2 linked regions of the Coturnix japonica genome follow. The protein of the gene in region 2 purifies or fractionates together with the protein of the main gene of each other region. This does not show direct contact. Links are inferred from orthologs where the notes say so. Each region holds a gene or a part of one and is shown on either strand. Other genes may lie near its edges. The genes, in order: EIF3B and EIF3M.

Region 1 (3,824 bases), on a different chromosome or scaffold from region 2:
AAGGTCAGGACCCTGTGGAAGTGTTTTGACAGACCCGAGGTCTCACACTACAGGGTATTTTCAGATGACAAGGCCTTTGACTTTTCAAGTATTTTCAGTTCTGACATTAAGTTCACTACAAGCCTGAATAGCAGTGAAAGCTTTGACTTCTCACATGTTACATGAGAAGCCTTGCAACATGAATATCATAGTTCCCATCAAGAGTAAGCGCCCTAATTATCATCAACAAATGTTACACGTTGATGTACCACATGTACCAAAAGCAAAGGCCAGCTTGAACAGTTAAATATCAGAACGTTGGAATTACCTTTCATTTCCACCACATCCACAGGCACCTGTTTCTCTCTCATTCGGAATATTTCAAAGTTGGTCACTACTCCCTGCAAAGGCCAACATCAGCTCATTAATCAATACAGAAGCAGCAGACCAAACAATTTGTTGTTTTTTAAATCAGCAGGCATAGAAGGATGGCTATGAAATTGGCCCAAGGGAACTCAGGATGACAGTCAAGGCTCAAGATTTGTTTCTTTAATAAACAGACAAACAGTGCTCATTACCAAGCACACCATTAATCTTTTTGTTCTGTTAAAGAATAACAGAAGGATTAGATATGGTATTTTTTTTCAGACTTAAATTTAGCTGAAGAAGATAGAACATATGGTACATTCTGCAGCACAGCCTATGGTTCCAACAACTGATTTTACAGAGAGCGGGGAAAGAGACCTAGCACTCATTTTAAAAAATATATATGAATTAACTCCACTACATCAGTAAATTGAAAGCAAATGCTGGATGCAAACATGACACACATTTGGCTCTCTACACGCCTCAAACTCAGCAGTCAAAGCTGCCTTCATTTTTCCATTGTACAATTTACACTGACTGGGTTGAAAGACAATATTGAAGGGGAAAAAAAATTATGAAGTATGAGCATGAAAGGAACCAAGTTTTATGAACACAATCACAGTCTACACACCTGTGTGCCTTTGGGAGTCCTGTCTACCTTCACACACAGGTAATCACCATTCTTCTGCCAGTGTAGTTTACAATCTACAACGTTGAACAAATTCCGCACACGGATTTCTTGTCTGGCAGGCAGTTGCATTAAGGTCACTCTTGCTGGGATGTCTTTGTCCTCAGGCACCCAGAAAGCAATTATGTTACCACCCGGAGACCACGAGAAATCTCTACAGGAATGAAGTTAGATGAAATCTATTTTAATTTTTAGTTAGAGATACTACAAGCAGAAACTACTTTCAGCGTTCTGAGAACTGCAGACAAATATCAACTCTCAGTAAAAAGGTGTATACAGAGCAGCAACTGAAGAGTTTCTAACCTTACACATAACATGTTTTTAATTGCCCTTCAAACCTGCTACATCATTGTTACCAAAACAGTAAGATTCACTAAAGATAATTTCCTTCTGTGAAATTATAGAGAAGACAATCCTCCTGCACCTGAGCATGCTGAATTATATAACTGTCTTCCAAAAGGCACCTCAAAAAACTCACAGGACTTAGCATTTACTGTGCAGGTATGCACAAAACCAAACTAGTTCCTTGCCAACAGACAGCATGCAGCACACCAGTCTTAAAAGGTATTACACAAACTGCATTCCAGTTTGGTTTGGTAGATGAAGAACCAGGATGCCAAGTTGGATACCAGACTACATATTACCACAAAGAAGATTTCTGGGTACAGATTGAAGTACACAGCTAACAGCTGAAGTGGAAAGCTTTTTGCTCTTTTTTTTGGCCAGTTTGTCTGATTTGCCCACTTCAGCATGAGGCTACTTGCTCTAGTCAGTATAAAGATTCACTTCACTATTTAGAAGACCTGGACATAAAGACAAAACAGAGCAGTTACTTGTAGAAAGGGATATACTCACCTTATCCCATTGATTTTCAGGCTTTTTTTGTCCAACAATCCCATGGACTAAAAGAAGAGAAAGTTATCAACTTTCAAGTAACATTCTTGCACATACAATAAGAGCAGAAGGCTTATGTGTAAGAGAATAAACCAGGAAACTGTGGACAGTGTTGAGAGATCCTTTATCCCTTATAATAACAATTACATATAACACAACAACCAATAAGACTAATTCTGTGCAATGATTGTTTTAATGAATAGCAGCTTATACTATAATAAAAACATAAAACAGACTCTGCTATGGTTTATTATGTCCTTCGGGTATTCTGGCACACATCCATCACTAATACCTGAATGGTATCACATAACAATGATACTGTTAACTGCTATATTGAGATCTCCAGGCTTTCTAGAAGCACAGTAAGAACGCTGCTGTCAGGCTCAGCTAGTTTTTGATCTAGGAATAATAAATAAATAAAGAACAAATGGATTTCTTCCATTTTAAGCTCTAGAGTGCATTATTAAAACATTCCTTAGAAAACATAAATGCAGACATTGTTCAGCAATAAACACTGCACAGAAACAAAACAACAACTTACAGGTGTTTCATAAATGCTGAGGGTATCTGAAGTCATTCGAGCAAAGAATTTACCATCATGACTCCATCTAAGAAAAAAAAGAGGATAAGCTAAAGAGTTGCCTGTTCATTAAACAAAGTCTTGGGCTGCTCGCTCTCTAATGCTGCTTTGCAACCTACTTAAAAATAGGCCAGTGAGCTGAGTTTTCACAGTGGAATCCTCGTTTCTTTTGCCCAGTCAAAATATCCCAGATGATAATAGCCTGTGGGTCATCCTGCGTGTCCATCAAAGGGCTGAAGGTCACCAAATATCTATAAAGGAAATAATCAATTTTACTACTAAAATTTGATTCAGTACATGAGTACAAGCAGGCTTTCATCTAAATACTATTCAAATACGATGCACTTTTAAACAGCACTTCCTCCAACAGGATGTTCTAGAGGTGAGGAAAAAGCTTCCAAGGCACAGTAGTTCCTAACATCCCTTCCACTGAAAAGCCTCTAGATTTACAAGAGTTTTCTTGTACTGATCTTACAAGGGAAAATTCCCCAGTCACGTTGTTACCTACTATGTAGTTTTGTGACCAGAACATCACTGACTTCAAATCAAATACAAACTCATAACCTGTGCCAACCTGAACTACAAGTATGCCAGACATCCCCATTTAAAGATAAATAATCTCTTTCAAGTATGAAGAACAAAATGTCACTGCTTCCAAGTATCTTACTCGAAAACTAGTAAGATGCATCTCAGTCCTAGAATGACTTAGGAATGATTCCCTAAAGAACTCAAGTATTAATTCCAATATTACAGATGTAGAAGATGCTCCTCAGCTAAATTTTTCCACAGAGACAGAAGTCTAATACTACAGACATCCCATCTGATCAAGGAGAAAAAAAAGTACCATTCCCTCAGATAATAACGACTACTACAAAATTGAACTGGCAGGCTTCGTTGAACAGGAACTCCAGATTACATTAAGTATATTCCCTGAAGTCAAAGCAAAGTTTGACAGAGTTTCCCTTATTCTGAAAAGGATCTAAGTATGAAAAACAAAGACAGAGAAGAACTAAAGACCTGAGTTACATAAGATTTGTAAACACAGCAGGCAGAACACACACGCTTCACATTTTTACCCCAAACCAACATCATACTCCATACCTTTCACAGGGTGAGAAGTCAATAAGCTGCACTCCCTGGTGACTAAACCTTTGAATCTGCTTGAACTTCTCTCCACCCCAAAGTGCGATGCCCCTCTGGTGGAATGTAGCCAGATAGGTACCCTTTGGGGACCAACGTACGTAGGTTTCTGTCCACCGCTGGAATTAATAAAAACAAAAAAATATAGATATAAAGCCATTGAACTTCATGCTCAAT
Region 2 (3,938 bases):
CTGAATGAGCAGAAGTCATCTCCCATGACTTTAACTCCAGCACAAAGTGAAACACTCAGAGATGAGGACAGATGCCCTACTCATAATTCCACTGTACAAAACCAAATAGAAGAAATTGAGAAATTCCTCAATTTGGAAAGACTTTGTTCATCAAGAAAAAGGAAACATGAAGACCAGCAGTAAGAAGCAGCAGTAGGAGGTGACAGTTAAACATGGTGGATAAACCACTTCTGTAAGACAAGCTGGTAGAGGTATTCCTATATAGTGTATATTCATGTACTTTCACGTTTTAACTTGTTATGAATTTGGCCTGAAGTTAAAAGTTCACAAGTGAAATGTTTTAATAAACCTGTAAGTAATATTAAATCACTCCCCAGAACTTCTAATTGAAATAGTTCAGTTTGGGTTGACAGACTGCTCTGTTTTTGAACACTGCTGTAACTGTTTCAAAGTATAATTGTTCTTTAGACTCACGCCACTTAGGGTTGCTGTAGTAGATTATGTCTAAATACTGCCTCTTTCCTCACTAAAACAAGGGGTATGACTCACTTACCAAGTTTCATTCCTGGTTCACATTTCTCCTCCTTCAGGATAATAGTAACCTCTCACTTCAGTTACTTACACTGTTACTTTCCTCATCTACCTCCCTTCCACCCCACACCTCTTGTCAAAGAGCAATCTTCATATGAGAAAACTTAATAAACAACAACAAAAGAAACAAGGTATTGCTACTGTTACTTATTTCTAATTATATAAGAAAATCAACGAGAGATTTTCCCACATTTTATTGCTTTTCTGTTGCAATTTAGAATGCTGTCTCCTTTAAACCAATTGTACACATTTTGGAAACATTCACAAATGGTCAAAGGTTTTGAATATAATGTATCTATAGCGGGACATTTCCAGGTTATACTTTCTTTAGGTGTCTGAGAGACTGAGGAGACTGTTTTTGACTTGATTCAAATTTTGTTTCCAGGTGTTTAGAGTATCGTACAATTGCTGCCACTGCTGCTTTCCGAAAGTCCGATGTGTGCTGTGACTAGAGAAGTAAAACAAAATCAGATGATTACTAGATGTAATACTCACCTAACTATTCTTTTACAGCATCACTTCAATCTCACACACGAGCAGGGAAGTTTTTATTTTCTGTAAAATGCTGCACTTCACCAGTTACAGAAGTCTGCAGCCTTCCCAAATATTTAAAGCAACAATAGTCATTAGTATTCTTGTCACTATTAGGTCATTAAATGAAATGTGCTGGAAAATAGGACTCTTTCATTACATAAGCTAATCACATTCAGTCTGAGCTTTAATAAAATTATGATAAATAGCAACTACTTAACTACCACCAAGTGATAGGAACAATACCTCGACTCTAGTTAAAATATTCTACACCTGTAAGTGAAATAATTAGAACACACTAAGTCCTACAAAATGCTATGAAGAATTAAGTCTTACCTGACAACTACTTTCCTCTGTGTCTGATCTATTTTGCAGTACACCATCTTTGTCTTTACGGCTGCAAAAAAGAAATGCTGTTTTAAGCCCTATTTTCAAGACAAGGTGATGTTACATTGCTTAAGCCTCCTAAAATGTTTTTGCTGAGAGTTTTAACCATCTAATAGGCAGAAATCCAAAATGATGTTGTAAGATGGACGTATCTTCTTCTTATTGATGCCAAACTAAATTATTAAAGAAACGTGTAATAATAATAATAAATACCCCTACAAATTAATAGCTTTAATGGCAGGAAACAAAACCAGGTGACAAATTAAACCTGCAGATGATTTATTATGCAGAATTACTTGAAATATATTTCCCATGTCTGAGAAAGCAATTCTTTCAATGTCAGCTGTACATTCAAGCACAGAAGTTTTACAGATACATCTATACTGGAATAGAATAAAACATTTCAATATTTAATATTAACTCAGAAGATTATATAAGGTATAGTTAATTAGCATTGTATAAAGTACTTTGTTACAGTTCTTACCATCAATAACAAATGCTTCTACATCATCAGCTCCAATCTGAAGTTCCTGTTGCATTGTGTCAAATGATATTTCTTTATTCTCTACAGCCATACCCATAAAAGTAAGTAGCCTCATTTTTGCCATATTCTGTTCATGCAACAAGCCTGTGTGAAAAGTATTGACAGTTTATGGATATTAATTCAATAATATCTAATTTGCTTTTCATGGTTTTTACTATATATCCTTGCAGTAATTTAGAATTTCACATAATGAAAACACCCTATCTGGCTTTATCAATGTTTTTTGAGGTAATATTTATTTCTGCATCCTCCTCGTGTTCTGCTAAAAACACCTGGTTTAGTTATTAATTCATCATGAAAATGAACATCCAAAAAGAGGAGAGTGGAGATTTTTTGAACCACTAAGGACATCATCTTTACAGAACTCGGGTGGTAAGAGCACAAGTGATGTTTTTAGTTGGATCAACAGGAAACAGAGCCATGCAATGCAAGAAAAATAACTGGTGATGTCAAAGCCTTCCTCCAGCCTCACTGCTCATTCTCAGGTAGGTGCTTAAAAAAACTGTAATGGTTCTGCAGCAAGTGTTCTTCAAGTACATGTAAAGAGATGCTAAGATGTGTCAGATCTTTTGCAGGGTAGCATGAATGGCAACACAAAGAACTGAACTTTGAGCTTGGCACATGGAAATCTGAGTTCTCACTCCTGTAAAAGTGCAGGCGAACAGAGCTGCACCTGGATAAGCCAAAGCCTTTCTTTATCAAGTTCTCCAGGGCACCAACTAAGCTTCACTGGAAGTTCCTTTAAGATGAATGGCAATCATTTGGTTTCGGAATGACATTATAAGCATCCACATGGCTTCAGTAAATATTTAAGTTTGGAATTTATAACATCCATACTCCAATAGGAAAGCACATTAGCAGAGGACATCATGTTGTGTTAATTAGCTGTAATTATGATGCAGGCTCCCTATTTGGCACCAATTCAACAAAAATGTGATCACTATAACTCATATGGATGAGAAGCATCAGAAAATATACCTAACCAAGTTTAATGGAAATCTACAAGCATCAAAAAATCAATTAGCGTACATTAACCCTAATTAACAAATGCAAATGAGATGCTGATTAACTTTCTGAAAAAGGCTGCTGATGATACCAGATTAAATGTGGCCATGTTAGGGCGATTCAGTTGACACAGATAATGCTACTGCTGGCCCAAGTTGTCAGCATTAATAAAACAACAAATTGTAACAAACTGATGCCACCTGTAGGAGCCTTCATTGCACATCTTTCTTGGACTAATTGTAATTGGTTCTGATCCAAGTAAAGCTAATAGTATTTTAGATCTGTTGCAAAATCAACAACATCCTTTTTTATTTTGAAGCTCAATACTTGAGAAAATGTTGAGGAAGAGAATGATTAAAAACACTTGTTTTGGGGAAGAGATCCAGGTGTTTCAGAGAATTGTTGAATGCCTCCTCTAACAATCATACTGTTTTCTATACTGATCTGCCTTTTTTCTTTTTTAAGGCATAGGTGAAAGACGTAGAACAAGTTCCAAGCATTCCAGTTTGAACTACTTCAGAATCTCTACCTCCTTCATAGCTGAAAGACAATCAAAACTCTCTGAGTGTGCCATAAAGGTGAGAAATCAAGGTAAGGGGAAGGTTGTTTTACAAAACAGCTATACATATACTTAAGGATTTTACTAGTATAACCTGAATACCAGACTTATTGAAAAGATGTAGACCTTGTATTCATGGAATTAAACACAGACACAGGAAGGCAAAGAAAAATAAATCGTGATTATTGTATGACGTACAGATATAACTGTGTTTTCATCAAATACTTCCATGGGTAAGTACTGAACAGATAAACCATTTCAACACATAAAAGTAATTTCTATATATATATATGTATATATATAAAAAAACAACCCCTCTCC

Evidence for each region.
Region 1: the proteins of EIF3M (region 2) and EIF3B purify together in Homo sapiens (affinity purification with mass spectrometry; 8 studies listed by BioGRID and IntAct, counting the BioPlex papers as one, with this or other methods). This does not show direct contact. The link is inferred for Coturnix japonica from reciprocal best matches to the Homo sapiens genes EIF3M and EIF3B.

What each region holds. Positions count from the first base shown.
Region 1 is NC_029529.1:3,192,850-3,196,673, reverse strand, and holds part of EIF3B (eukaryotic translation initiation factor 3 subunit B), read right to left. Parts: intron 3,767-3,824; coding exon 3,609-3,766; intron 2,759-3,608; coding exon 2,627-2,758; intron 2,536-2,626; coding exon 2,469-2,535; intron 1,936-2,468; coding exon 1,889-1,935; intron 1,188-1,888; coding exon 977-1,187; intron 381-976; coding exon 308-380; intron 1-307.
Region 2 is NC_029520.1:4,350,682-4,354,619, forward strand, and holds the end of EIF3M (eukaryotic translation initiation factor 3 subunit M), read right to left. Parts: exon of another isoform or gene 2,138-3,938; coding exon 1,994-2,137; exon of another isoform or gene 1,520-1,993; coding exon 1,459-1,519; exon of another isoform or gene 1,040-1,458; coding exon 919-1,039; 3' UTR 771-918; downstream 1-770. Other genes in the region: CCDC73 (coiled-coil domain-containing protein 73), read left to right, coding at 1-183. UniProt on the Homo sapiens protein: Component of the eukaryotic translation initiation factor 3 (eIF-3) complex, which is required for several steps in the initiation of protein synthesis.